2 linked regions of the Drosophila melanogaster genome follow. The protein of the gene in region 1 interacts with the protein of each later gene in a pairwise test. Each region holds a gene or a part of one and is shown on either strand. Other genes may lie near its edges.

Evidence for each region.
Region 2: the proteins of TM9SF3 (region 1) and Sys1 interact in a two-hybrid assay, tested with the Drosophila melanogaster proteins (one large-scale study listed by BioGRID).

What each region holds. Positions count from the first base shown.
Region 1 is NT_037436.4:5,598,761-5,608,402, forward strand, and holds TM9SF3 (transmembrane 9 superfamily protein member 3), read right to left. Parts: upstream 5,220-9,642; 5' UTR 5,039-5,219; coding exon 4,928-5,038; intron 4,870-4,927; coding exon 4,312-4,869; intron 4,195-4,311; coding exon 3,230-4,194; intron 3,174-3,229; coding exon 3,029-3,173; 3' UTR 2,336-3,028; downstream 1-2,335. Other genes in the region: CG10591 (uncharacterized protein), read right to left, coding at 1-799, 861-897; mthl2 (methuselah-like 2), read left to right, coding at 6,134-6,646, 6,710-6,863, 6,926-7,102, 7,163-7,414, 7,479-7,650, 7,712-7,906, 7,963-8,056; Eaf6 (Esa1-associated factor 6), read right to left, coding at 8,521-8,705, 8,792-8,923, 9,046-9,259, 9,327-9,473.
Region 2 is NT_033777.3:8,651,336-8,656,506, reverse strand, and holds Sys1 (Sys1 golgi trafficking protein), read right to left. Parts: upstream 3,497-5,171; 5' UTR 3,387-3,496; coding exon 3,222-3,386; intron 3,152-3,221; coding exon 3,030-3,151; intron 2,962-3,029; coding exon 2,766-2,961; 3' UTR 2,660-2,765; downstream 1-2,659. Other genes in the region: bel (belle), read left to right, coding at 1-529, 601-722; CG42489 (uncharacterized protein), read left to right, coding at 2,398-2,631; Dhod (dihydroorotate dehydrogenase), read left to right, coding at 3,723-3,770, 3,825-4,994; SLIRP2 (SRA stem-loop interacting RNA binding protein 2), read right to left, coding at 5,115-5,171.

The sequences.
Region 1 (9,642 bases):
TCGAGCTGGTTGGGACTGAGCTGCTGGACGGACTGGCCCTTGAGTAGACCATCGGTGGGTCGCTCTCCCAGGAGGAGAATCCTTCTCCAATCGCTGGCATCGGAGCTACCTCGCAGGAAGTCCTTGCGATTGCCAACCGCAAACACAGTTTCCTCCATATTCTCGGGCAAAATTGTGGGCTGCTGGGCTCCCAGATCGCCGGGCGTGGGTTGAGTTGGTGGCACTTGGACTGCTGGTGGTGTGATCCCCGAGAGAGATGACGATGTGGGTTGCGGTGGAGGAATGGGAGCACCGGAACCTTGGTTCACCGGTGTATCGAACAGTTCACTGGGCAGATTCTGCGGTCGATCGATCTGCACCACCTGGCCATCGGGTGAAATGTGGAAGAACTGAGCGCGACCAGCTAATCCCGTTCCTGGTCCTCCTGGAATCACTATAATGTTGCCCACAGCGGTGGTCAATGCAGAGGCTCCACCAAATCCGCCACCACCTGGGGTGGAAATGAAAGGAGGGACTGGAACTCCCGGTGGCGGAAAGGATCTCAAAGGTGGAGGAGCTGGGCATGGGAAACAATATCCAGGAGGACCAGGCGGTCCTGGTAAGCCTCTAGGCCCCTGGATGAAAGGCAGATTTGGGGGGTAAGGACCTGTGGGTGGATAGCCCCAGTAGCCAGAACCACTGCCAGAGAGACCGTTCTGATTGCCAGGAGGTCCAGGCGGACCTGGAGGTCCTCGTTCCCCCTGTGGACCAGGATCACAAGAGCATTTCACCAACGAAGCCTGGGCGGTGGAGCAAAGACCTGATGGAATATATGGTATTGTAATATTGTAGAAAAATTTATAAATGTTTTATAAACTTACCAGCAACCAGAAAAGCCAAGAGTCCCAAAAAACTCATGATGTACTTCGGATTTCTCTTCAGATCGGACTGAGATCCAAAATTCGAATTCGGCTTTTATAAGCTGAAAAACTCGAGAGCTACGTTTTAATATGCATAGAAAATATACAAAATAATCTCTAGATCGAACAGAAAACACATTTCCCGCATCTCTATAACTGTTCTTAACCCACCATCGAAAGGGAAATGCTAAGCGATCAAAAGGAAAAATGCCATCACCCAGTCGGCGCAGTGACAATTATGATAATTTATGCAACAAAATATACACGAACATCATTAGGCCCGACGACAAGCCTTTAAACTGGGTCAGCAGGGTTCTCGGTTTGATTCTTGGCCAGCCAGCCGCAATCAGCGGGACAACTTCAAAAATACATCAACTGTCTATCAGGTCATAAACAGTGATCAGATTGTAGAGTTTATGTGACCAAATGTGGGCGATACCCATCAAAGTGACACCCAGATTTTTGAATTGCCTTTTCATCAAAACGGAAACTCTTCAGGGATTATCCCAAGCGCCTTTACAGTTTCCACTGCCCAGAATTAGCATAAATTACGAAATCAATATGTTTCCAATCAGTTACCACACTACCACGGCTAGAAATGAAAAGGCTCTGTAACATTTCCGACTTATCACAGAATTCCATTGACGAGACAAAGCCCACCGAAAACACGCGTCATTAGTGGACGAGTGCCCACTCCGTAGGTGTTCACTTCCAAACTAGCGCCGTTCCCTGGAACTATGATGACACTGGGCCTCTTGAAAGTCCCGATAAGCAGAGAAGTAAATCCGGATGAAGGGTGGCTTGTGGCAGCAGTTGAAACCATTCGATACACTTCAAAATAGTTGTTTACTAGAAACTGCTAATCTCAAAGGTATGTCCATAGGTTATCTTACCAAACTTCCGAAACTTTGAATTAAAACGTACTTAGTGCTGAAGGAAAATTATTCAGTACTTATACTGATAATATTTTTGAAAGTTGCTTGTATTTGAAACAACTTAAGTCATTTATTCATATAGTTGATTCTGGAAAGCTCACCAAACATTTTAGGGTATAAGACACACTGTGTGTAAACACTGCAGTGATTGGTCGTATACGTAATATAAACATAGTTCAGTTACTTGAGACAAATCGAACATCATCAGTTAACGACAAGAATCCGAAAGGCTTTATCAATGGTGTTGTCATGGAATAACCCCAAAGTACTCCATCCATCCTGTGCTCCCAAACGAAAAGAAAACGAATGGAAGTGCCAGAATTGGCCCCCTAATAAATGGGATGATAAGACCGTTGAAGTTGTTTGCCTCCCAGTAATTGGAAAACAATTTGAGGGTCAATGTTACCGAGTGAATCAAAAATAGTAAAAGTGAAACGATCTGTGTGTTCGCTGATAATGGCCAAGATGAAGGGGGCTTATACTGTCATAAACTTTTTTTTTGGTTTTATATATTGAATTTATTATTAGATTATCGACTATTGCTAATCAGCACATTTCTTGCATCGTACATAACTTAATTGGCGCAAACAAGTTCAAGTCACATTTTGTTGCAGTTGCATAGATTGATAAGTTTTCTAGGCAAACAATTCAAATAAAATACTCGATGTACACCGTATGCAACGTAACATACGCACATATATGACATAAAAGTTATCTTCGGAAATATATCAAATATTTTGTGTAAGCAAGCTTCTTAGTAATTTAAGTAAGTAGAGAAATGTTATTTTATGGAACAGTAGAAATTACAAAACCAAAAATTAGTGTATAGGATTAATTGACTCTTAAAACTAGCAAAACGTAAATGCAACAGAAAGAGCTTTTAATTCACAATGTTTTCCCAAATTTTCTCATTTGAAACGTCTAGTCTTATAATTCCGAAGTAAACCTTTTAGGTGATATATGTAGTTTGCGTATACATCGTTAAACTGAATCTTTTATCTTTGGTGCGAATATATTGGACTGGCATTCATTTTCACACCAACATGAGAAGTGGGTAACCCAAAGAGACGAAAAGAGGAGAGCCAACTGGAGCTAAAGTTGTGAAACAGAACTAAAACTCTACTCAATAAATACAATTGTTAATCGATTAGGATGATATACAGATCTGGGGGTGGGTTTGCAGTCGCAGGGCTCTTAGTCTATTTTCACATTGGAATAGATTTTGCGCACGAAGAGATTCGTGCCCACATAGCCGACGGTGCCGCAGATAATGCCCAAGGCGCCGCTGAAGAGTGCCATGTAGCCAAAGTAGAAGGCCGTTTGGAACAGACCGAACATTCTGTAAAGTAATGAAATATAAATATATGGATAATATGCTAGAAAAAGGCATCTTACTTGGTTTTAAAGAAGAAGTAATAGAAGGAATAGGCGTACACGTAAATCGACGTGGAGCCCGCAGCCATGAAACTCGTCCACTGCCATCGGTAATCTTCGGCATTTAGCAGGAAGTAGGTGCACACGATGGTGACGCACACGGTGACCACAGTCAGGATGCTGAAAACCAGCAACATGAAGCCGTAGACGTAGTAGATCTTGTACGCCCAGAAGGAGGTGAAGATGAAGTACATCTCAATGAAGATGGATCCAAAGGGCAAGACACCGCCAAGAAGCACAATAATCAGTGGCTCCATGTACCACTTCTTTTCGGGAATGGGTCGTGGCACCGCGTTGACGCGGCATGGAAAGTCTGGTTGGCCGTCCAGATTGCGGCCCACGACAGTACCCACCAGAGTCAAGGGCAGGATGACAAACAGGCAGATGCAAGTGACCGCCACCATGGTACCGAAGGGAATGGCTCTCGACGCGTGATATCCAATGGCAATGAAGTTGATCAGGAAAGCCGTGCCGCACACAGCCACTGGAACTGTAAAAGCGGACACCAGCATCTGTCGGATCCACATGCGTCCACCCAGGCGGGCATAGAGCGATCCTCCAAAGTATCCATTGATTGGTGAGGTGGCGGCATACACAAATATAGCCGTGGACAGCATGGAGCCGCGTTCCGTGTACAATTCACCAACTATGGCGAACATGATCACACAGAATACAACCGAAATCAGTTGGTATCCAGCGCCCACCAACGCCGAGAAGAGCAGTGTGTTGGGCGGAGAACGGAAGACATCGCCATGCACCTGCTTCCAGCCGTATTCATCACCAAGATCTCGCTCCATGTCGTCGATTTCCTCGTCCTTACTGTACCGAGCATAATCCTTGCGCAGAGTTCGCATCAGAATCATGGACACCAGACCCACCAGGAAGATGACCATCATGAAGCTGTTGAAGATGCTGAACCAGTGGATCTAGAAAAGATTAAAGAAAAGATGATGTCATCAAACTTTGACCTTTTCCTCTTGCTATTTATATAGAATATGATTCATTTGAAAGTTGTGGAGTAAAACTAGTTGAACTATACGCACCCTGTGCTGGAAGAAGTTGGGATCCAGGTACTTGTCGAATCGATTCTTGAACTCCACCTTGCTGGGCTTCCAGTTGACCTCGTAGGAGAAGTTGATGTGGGATCCCGGCTTGAGTTCCTCGCGGCCCTCGGTGGTCAGGGTGATATCCACGATTTGCTGGCCATTGTAGCCGATGTCGAACTTCTTGTGCGTGAAGATATAGTACTTGCCATCGCGCTCGTCGCGCTCACCGACTTTTCCCCAAATGGGCAGTCCATCGATGTACATCTGGTACCAGTACTCGTTCTTCACGGCATAGGTGAATGCCTTGGCGCTCTCCTCCTGCAAGGTGACCATGCAGATGACCGATTTGGGGGCGTCGCTCTTGAACTCCATCTCGTAGCCACTGAACTCTAGCTCGACTCCTTGCAGCGCCTCGCTCAGCGTCTCGTGGTAGTGCGATATCGAGGACTTCTGGCCACTGCAAAAGGGGAGAGAGAAGTACGCGTACGTCTCCTGCCGATTGTGGTACGGGCCCACCGTGTTCATCCACAGTACCACCTCCTCCCGGTCATTGTACTGCGTGGCAAAGTGGATCATGTATTCGGTGCTCGAGGGATGTGGCATCCGGACTCACCTTGTGATTGTGCTCATCTGCCTGGGAGAGCGACACGTAGCAGCTGGCGATCAGCAGACATAAACAAATTGCACGGAACGGCACCGTGGTTTGCGTGGCGCTGCTGCCCATTGTGTCTTGTGCAGGTGGTGACCTCGTTTGCGCGTCTTCCTGGTGACCTCGCTCTGCCGGCCTGATTCGGTTGCCCTCGCTGGGATTGCGTTTTCAAACAGTTTTGTGGCAAACACTCAGATTTGCCGACAGCAGAAATATTTTAGGGTTGTATCTTAGAGGTGGAGAAACATCGATGCCAACATCGATGTCATCGATGTTTTCGAAAAATCAAAAACGTCGATGTTTTTCGAGGAATCGTCGATGTTTTCAGCGCATAGAAACAGCAAAGTGTGTAAATTGTAAGTCTAAATTAATTTCCATATTTTCTAATACAATTATTAATAGCATATTGCATATTTATTGTGACTCGCCGGTGGTGTAGGCTGGTGTCTTGGAAGACATGGATAAATATCTGAAATGTAAGTTTTTTTTTTAAAGATCAATTTATTTGTTTTTTGCCAAAGACATCGAAAACATGGATGTTCGCCAACATCGATGTTTCTCCACTTCTAATGCCAACGAAAACGTGACTGGGAACGTATCGATGGGAAAAACGTTACAAAAATACCAACTATCGCATAGCGGAATCACCTTGGCGGGCTATTCGAATGTATCTCACAAATAGTTTTTAAGGAACCTACAGTCAGTACCAAATACTTAAAATTCCATTTATATTTTATTTTATGCTACAGAAAACTGATAAGCTGCATTACTTTTGAAAAGTTAAAAATTGTGTTTTTTAAATGATTTATTTATATAAATAAGCTTATGTAATACTATTGTTAATATGTAAAAAAAAAAGAATAAAAGAAAAAGAATAGTTTACCTAAGCAGTTGCTTGAATAATACATACATAATTTAAGTTTTATACATAATTTATCAACCCTCGCTCAGTAGGAAAAAAAGATGGCTCAGAAATGAGCAACGAATTGGAATGTCCGATAAGCCTTTTTTATCAAAATAATAATTTTTACATTCCCTTTTCATAACGCTTTCCCAGTTAGTTTGTGCCAATCGTAAAACAGCATCCGCAAAGTGAAGTCGCTGCTATTTTGTAGTACCACTACATTCTTATTTATTTAAGTAATATTTAAAGAATGTCCAGCTAACTATATGATTGCTAGTTCAAAAATGTTACTTTCTGCATCGATCCTAATATATTTCTTGCTGAATCTGCAATCTTCGAGTGCTGAGATTGCCGACTGCAGTTTCTATGATACCGTTGATATCTCGGAAGGCCAGAGGCTCTCGAATGGATCATACCTCTACGAGGGATTACTTATTCCCGCCCATTTGACGGCCAAGTATGAATTCAAGCTTCTGGCGAATGGAGATAAGGAGCAGGTGCCAAGTCACGTGAGAGGATGTGTGTGCAAGCTAAGGACTTGCGTCAGGTTTTGCTGCCCACATGACCACATAATGGATATGGGCGAATGCTACGCCAACATGACGACGGAGGAGAACGAATTACTGGACCCCATGCTAAATGTGACCCTGGACGACGGATCAGTGGTGCAAAGGCACTATAAGAAGGAGCTCATGGTGCAGTGGGATCTGCCAAAGCCCTGCGATGATATGTTTTACCTAGACAACCGGGATATAATGGATGAGTACACCTTGTTCGAGGTATGGCTGCTCGAAAAATAAGCATTTTTGGGCAGGATTTATTTATGCTTTGGCTCTCTGCAGAATGGAAGATTGCTGCGCCACTACGATCAAGTGTATTTGGACAAGTCGGAGTACTGTCTGCAGCACCGAACATTCGGCGAAGGTAACAACAACTCCATTCGCATTATACCCCACAACTGCTTGATACTGCCATCCAGAACGGGACAGACCGTTGGTAAGATGATGCCCATTGCTTGCATGGTAGCTCCCAGTTCTATATCTTTCCTATTTCCATAGTGATGATCACATCGTTGATATGCTTGGTTCTTACCATCGCCGTGTACCTGTGCGTTAAGAAGCTAATGAATTTGGAGGGCAAGTGTTTCATCTGTTACATGATGTGCCTATTTTTCGGATACCTGTTCCTACTCCTTGATCTGTGGGAGTTATCGCTCGATTTCTGTAAAGCAGCAGGTTAGCTTAGAGGGGATGCATTTCAACACAACTTGACAAACCATTGACCATTTACGACAGGTTTCTTGGGATACTTTTTCGTCATGGCTGCGTTCTTTTGGCTATCTATCATCAGTCGGCACTATTGGAAATGTCTTACCAATCCCTGTGCCTCGATGAACATTCGGTCAGAACGTGCGTTTCTGCTATACAGCTGCTTCGCCTGGGCAATGCCTTTGGCCTTGACCGGAGTCACCTATCTGGCTGATAACGTTGTGAACAACGAGGAGTGGCAGCCTCGCGTGGGCGACGAAGGGCATTGCTGGATCTATAGTGGGTTCTGTTTTGTATCCGGCTTGTGGTACCAGCTCACCAATGTTTTTCTTTCCACCCTCAGCTAAAAGCTGGTCTGCAATGGTGTACTTCTATGGACCGATGGTGCTCCTGATTCTCTTCAACATAACTATGTTTGTTCTGACGGCTAAACACATAATAGATTCCAAGAGGACTCTTCGAAAGATTGCTCGCAATGAAGGTAGAATACAGAAGCTGAATTCGGACAAACAGAAGTATATCAATTATAATAGTTGAAAATGTCAGTTTAAGATAAATATTATCAATTCGTTACAGTTACACACAATTTCTGCTGCTCTTCACTGTGATGGGGATGTCGTGGAGCTTTGAGATATTCTCCTACTTGGTGCAACGCGAGAAACTGTGGGTCAATATCTTTCTGGTAGCTGACTACTTCAACTGGTCCCAAGGCGTCATTATATTTGTGCTATTCATTCTGCGGCGCAAAACTCTTGTACTATTCAAGAAACAGTAAGTCTTATAGTTCATAGTTCGGGTAACCAGTTCCCTAAAATGTCTCTTTTCAGAATATTTCCCAAACAGAGAGCCTTTAGTAGATCTGCAACTCAAAGTACGATTGAATCCATTTCTCAAACAAAAAGGCATTTTAACATGACATAGTATTTTCTTCTCTTCGAATTAATCAATTTAATAGTAAAGTATAACTTTTTTTCTCACAAAATGTATGAATATATTTCACTTCATTCTACATTCTATATAGAATTCATTTAATCACAAAATGTATGAATATTTTTCTTTATATGACGTGCATCGACTATAGAAAATCGACTATAGTGTGCCACAATATATTTTACTCATCATTTCCTAATCAAACTATTGCAAACTTAACTTTGAGCCGAGGAAAAACCCTGTATGTCTATCAAAACTATGAGTCAAAAGTATGACGCGATGCTGAAAGTAGTTGCCTTTAAATATTGAAGTGATAAATGTAGAAAGAAGACATTTGTATGGAAATAAACTAAGTTTGTAAATCTACATTCGCTTTATTTCATGTACAAATTTTAATTTAAAAACTTTGAAGGTAAATAGTGCTTTATCAGATGCGGATTACACGGTAGCAGTTATCATCGATGTCGAATCTTCTTGTTTATGTGACCGCTTTTCTTCGCTGTCGCACTGGAGTTCGTGGATAGTTTGCTCTTTGTATTCGAAGTGGGTGTGCCGAGGAGATCCTTGTTCCCTCCACTGTTCGTAGATCCAGACACCATTCCGCTCACTACGCTGCCCTCATTGCGATGCGAGGGTGAATCTGTAAATAAAAAGGTGTAATTAAACATATATACTTTTCTGGAGAAAAGCGCTAAAGTTGAATCTCAATGTGCTGTGCTGCCTTACCCTTTTCGTCTTTCGGTGTGCTCTTGATTGTCGTGGTTCCGTCGTGGGCCGTTGTGGTGTTCTGATTGATTGAGATCTGATTGTCGCTGGAGTCTTCATTTGTGATGGAATCCGATTCGCTGGCGCGCTCAGCTAAAGGCGAATAAACATACTCATGTATGGCAACTAAAGCGTATCAATTTACACCCTTCTGGGCATAAAGCCTAGATCGATTACACAAGCGAATGACACAGTATGAATTATCCCCCACTTACGATTGCATATAGCCATGGAGGTGATGCTGGACTTGGAGAACAGGCGCTCGGCCTCCTTGAACTTGCGATTCCGCTTGTCGGCCTTGGAGTTGGTGGCCTTGTTGGAGGTCAGATAGCGCTCCCAGCCTCGGATGATGTTTCCGCACAACTGCGTGTCCTCTAGGTAGGAGCCCTCGAAGGCGTAGATCTGTCGCTCCAGATTGGCCAGTTGTTCCTGTCATTTATGCAACAAAAAAATGATAAAGTGCTGCGATTTCGGGTTTGTTTATATTGTGTCTCACCGATGTTTCGGCCTTCTTCTTGATGAGGTCCGCCAACTCGGCGCGAGTGTCCATGGAGCCGCCTTTCGTATTCGAGCTCGTTTTGGCCGACTTCTTTGGCTTGTTCCCGTTCGTTTCGCTGACATTTTTACTCGTTGGCGAGCTCATATTTTCAGAAAATGCTCGAATTTCAACAAATTTATATTTTGTTTTGGACAATGTGACCGGATATTGATAAAAAGTAATTACAATTAATCGATTTACGGATATCTGTTCCGACTATCGGTTTATGTCTTTGCTGAAATATGCATGCTAGTTCTTAACCTAATTGCATAGG
Region 2 (5,171 bases), on another chromosome or scaffold:
GTCACTAGCATCCACGGTGATCGCACGCAGAAGGAGCGCGAGGAGGCACTGCGCTGCTTCCGATCGGGCGACTGCCCCATCCTGGTGGCCACAGCCGTGGCCGCTCGTGGCCTGGACATTCCGCACGTTAAGCACGTTATTAACTTTGACCTGCCCTCGGATGTGGAGGAGTATGTCCACCGTATCGGGCGTACCGGACGTATGGGTAATCTTGGTGTGGCCACCTCCTTTTTCAACGAAAAGAACCGCAACATTTGCTCCGATCTCTTGGAGCTGCTGATCGAAACGAAGCAGGAGATCCCCAGTTTCATGGAGGATATGAGTTCGGATCGCGGACATGGCGGAGCCAAGCGGGCTGGACGAGGCGGTGGTGGACGTTATGGTGGCGGCTTCGGCTCCAGGGATTACCGTCAAAGCTCTGGCGGCGGCGGTGGCGGACGCAGTGGACCGCCACCACGTAGCGGTGGTTCCGGATCAGGAGGCGGCGGCGGCAGTTACCGCAGCAATGGAAACTCGTACGGTAAGTTTGGTGAGTGTGGAATCATCCATCAGCAGTAATCAGTTTAAAGGCAGAAACTTAACAGTGGATTTCCTTTACAGGCGGCAATTCGGGCGGCGGTGGATACTATGGCGGCGGCGCCGGTGGTGGCTCCTATGGCGGCTCCTACGGCGGCGGCAGTGCCTCGCACTCTTCGAACGCACCCGACTGGTGGGCTCAATGAGCAAGGCCTCAGCTTCAGGCAAAGGACCTGGGCCAGCAGCAGCAGCAGCATCAGCAGTCGCATCGTAGCCACTTTCGCAAATAACCAAACGGAGTAAAACAAAGTCGATAACAACTATATATGTGTACACACGTATACTATATAGGAACAGCAAATGTGAAAGAGAAACTGTCTGTGCGCAGCGCAACACAAATCACGAAAATACAGAAAAGATACACAGATGCACCCTCCACCCCACCCTCGTTTAGCAATTCACTCCTCTCTCACAACCTCAAAAACCAGGAGCAAGCGTTAATAATAAACTGTGCAAGTCCATCGCGAAAGTATATTACATTCATGTATAGCCAGCCCAAGCCGCCCTCCATTTCCATCTCACCCATCATTATATTTTATGAATTCGATGCGCGTAGTTGAAGGATATGCAAGCAAACACATACATATTTAAAATATGCTAAACAACCACAAATATTAAGAATATTTAAGCAAATGATAAAATTTTTGAATTTTTGTCCATAAGTTACAATTCTCACACATCATTTTTCTTGGAACTCTTAATATACATATATATATATATATATATATGTATTCTTATATATATATATATATATATCTAGACATAAATATTGTCAATGTCGGATCGAAACGATGAAAGCGCAAATCCTTGAACTTCAATTGATGATTTTAAACGAAGAAAACATAAAAATAGTAATGGTATATATATTATTAAATATATAGATCGAGATAGAATGTACTATATGAAACAAGAAACCAACACAAACAAGTAATTAAAACAAAAAAAAAACAAGTTTGCTAAACTAAAGCTTAATAATTTAGCAAATGAGAAAAAGAACTCGCATGGTTGTTTTTAATTTTTTCTGCATTTGGTGTAACAGGTGATTTTTTTGGGATTGGCAGATCGTGTCCGATAACGCTGTAAAGCACCAACGTTTACTAATTCCTTGGCGCCCTATTATCTTTTCATAAATATGTTCAATTAAGATTTATTTACTTACTGATATCACTTTTTGAGTTAGCTCCATTGATAAGAATTGGCAAGTTGCCTGTTCTTTGGTTTTAGTTCAGTACGCTTTTCGAACCAATACGTTTCGATGTAAGAGATCATTGGATTTTCAACCGCGACGAGCTGCTGGCCATATTATCAAAATAATTAAGGAGTGGAATATCCATAGGATAGGTTAGTAACCTTTAGGAGCTTCTCAGATGAGAGCTTTGTCGCCGGTTTCCCAGCGGCAAAGCTTCAATTATGCACATTTAAGCAATCAGTATAATTGAATGTTCGAAACGTGGGGAGCGAGAATGTAAGTAGGAAATGCATCAAATAGTGCCGAGGATGTGACGATCGTGGCGATGCCTACCCGTTTGCTAATTAGATTAGATAGGGCAAGTTGATTAGTTTGCTCTGATGTTTTCTAAAGAGGGGAGCTTGTCGATTTGTCGTTGTTTGTTTGCCAGATAAATTTGCTTGAACAGCAAAGCTCTACGCTTCTTGATCGCTGGATTTTGAAATAATAAACAGCGTGGGCGCTTGACTAGGCCACACCCCGTTTTATTATTATTTTCGGCAGTCCGGCGGAAATTTTCAGTGCACTCCCAGTTGTATTCGCGGATCTCAGCTGTGTCAATTTCAGACTGTCAACATATAAACACGACGAGGATGCAGAAGCCACATCATGGTCCGTGCTGGATGTTGCTTCTACTGGCATCGCTGATCGGTACTTTTATGCTGGCCTTCAGCTACTGGATGTTTGTGCCGCGCGAGGAGTCACTATGGTCAATGATATCGAACTACAGTGGATCTGGAATAAAGTACTCCCTGCCGCCGTCAGCAGTACCTGAGGAACTTAAGCTTCGGCAGAGACCGCCCTTCGTTTACCAGATATTACATTGAAAGTAGAAGTACAATATAGTGTTTATATGCTATGTAATCTTACGCTAGTTTAACAATAAATTACATGTACACAGAAGCTGCTTTGGGTGGCTTGGTTGGGGGGGTAGCAGGCATCACAAGTTGGTGGCTTCGAGTCAGACGTCCGACTTTTGATTGAGGGCCGCATAGCCCACTGGGATCTCCTTCATCTCGGTCTGCAGGCAGAGAAACTCGCCGCCTATGCACATTATTGTGCCGGTGATGACATTCAGTAGCCACCACGATGCGTTCGCGGGAAAGGAGCGGTTGTACCACCAGCAGATCAGCAAATGCAGCACGTGGAAGGTGCAACTGCCATGAAAGGGAAGCATGAGTTGTAAAAGCAAAAGATTAAGTGTGTGCACTAGCTATAAGCCCACCTAAAGTCCAGACAGAGCTTGGCTCTTCTCACAATGCACCACAGTGCCAGGGAGGCTAAGAACGCATTTAAAACAAATGCGCAGATCACCAGGCGGCCACCCATGTCGTAGATGTGGATCTCCTTTAAGCAACATTAAATCAAAGTAAGGAGAGGGGTTTCCATGATATATGGTATATAGCATATGGCATACATGGTATTCGAACAAGTGATCCAGACTATAGTTGTCCCCGGACAACTTGTTGGCCACGAAGACGAGTAGGCCAAGGGTGAAGTACACGCAGAACTGCATGGACACAATCTGTGAGGACAGCAGCGTGGGATCCCACTGCGTGTTGCGAAAGGTGCCGCCCTTCATGGTTGCCTCGGGTGGCCAAATCAGCGTTTAGAGAACGAAATTTCTAATTTTTAGCTGGCCATAACAAACTGACTCAACCATTAGAGGTGACACTGGAGGACTATCGATTCTCTTCGGCATGGTTGTGAATAGAAGGGGTTCATTTGCTACACAGAAAAAAAAGAAAATTATTGATGCTTGCCGTAGTAACTATATATCGCATGAGTTTTCCTTCAAAATGGCCAGACTTACTCCCAAATTGAATTTTCGTTAAAACTCTAGTACATGCATTTACTTTTTTACATATTATACTTTTAATACTCTATCGGGTACAATCGATATCCGGCGATAGTCGTCATGGATCAGGATCACTTAAAGAATGCTAAAAACGCCACGCGGAGAGTTGTGAGTAAAGTACGGCTTAAACGGGACCGGATTACAGAATGATTCCGCCCACAGGGTCGTTTGCGGTCGCTGGGAATCGTTACAGTCGGAGGAGCTGCCTTGGTGGCGGGCATTACGGCATACAAGAACCAGGACCAGTTGTTCCGGACCTTCGTGATGCCAGCGGTGCGACTTCTTCCGGCGGAAGCCAGCCATCAACTGGCCGTGCTGGCGTGCAAGTACCGCCTGTGCCCGGTTTCACAGTACCATGATGACCAGAACTTGCACACGTCGTTCTTTGGCCGGATGCTTAGCAATCCCATTGGCATTGCAGCGGGATTCGATAAGAACGCGGAGGCGGTGGACGGCCTGCAGGATCTAGGATTCGGATTTATAGAGGTGGGCACAGTTACCCCGGCGGCTCAGGAGGGCAATCCCAAGCCGAGAGTATTCCGGTTGACCGAGGACAAGGCCATCATTAATCGGTACGGATTTAATAGCGACGGGCATCAGGCCGTGCTCCAACGGCTGCGCTTGCTCCGCAAAAAGGAGAACTTCAATGGAGTTGTGGGCGTGAATCTGGGCCGGAACAAGACCACCATGAGCCCGATAGCGGATTATGTACAGGGTGTTCGGGTTTTCGGGCCCGTAGCAGACTACCTGGTCATTAATGTGAGCAGTCCGAACACCAAGGGCCTGCGCGATATGCAGAGCAAGGAGAAGCTAAGAGAGCTCCTGGAACAGGTCAACGACACGAAATCCTCCCTGGATAAGAACAAGAATGTGCCTATACTCTTGAAACTTTCGCCGGATCTATCTTTGGACGACATGAAGGACATCGTGTGGGTAATCAAGCGCAAGAAGAGCCGCGTGGATGGCCTGATCGTTTCAAACACCACGGTGTCGCGGGAAAACATCGAAAAGAACAAGCTGGCCGAGGAAACTGGCGGATTAAGTGGTCCTCCACTCAAGGCCCGCTCCACAGAGATGATCGCCCAGATGTACCAGCTCACCGATGGAAAGATTCCCATCATAGGCGTCGGCGGAGTGGCTTCCGGCTATGATGCATACGAAAAGATCGAAGCTGGAGCTTCCTACGTCCAAATCTACACGGCTTTAGTGTACGAGGGACCCGCTCTTGTGGAAGACATTAAGGCGGAGCTGTCGGCGCTGATCACACGGCTGGGTCACACTAATGTTGCGGACGTGGTGGGCACCAACAGCAAGTTCTACTTGCCCAAATGAATCAAAGATGCCACGATTTGAAGCAAGTGCTGCATTCATTTGTGTAAAACTAAGCTGTTAACAAACATTTCTCATGCTTTTCCTTTGGTCTAACCAATAAATCATTAAATTCTTCATTGATTAACTCTGAGGACTTTCATTCGCCCGCTGGACTGTGAGCACTCGTCCATCGAGGAA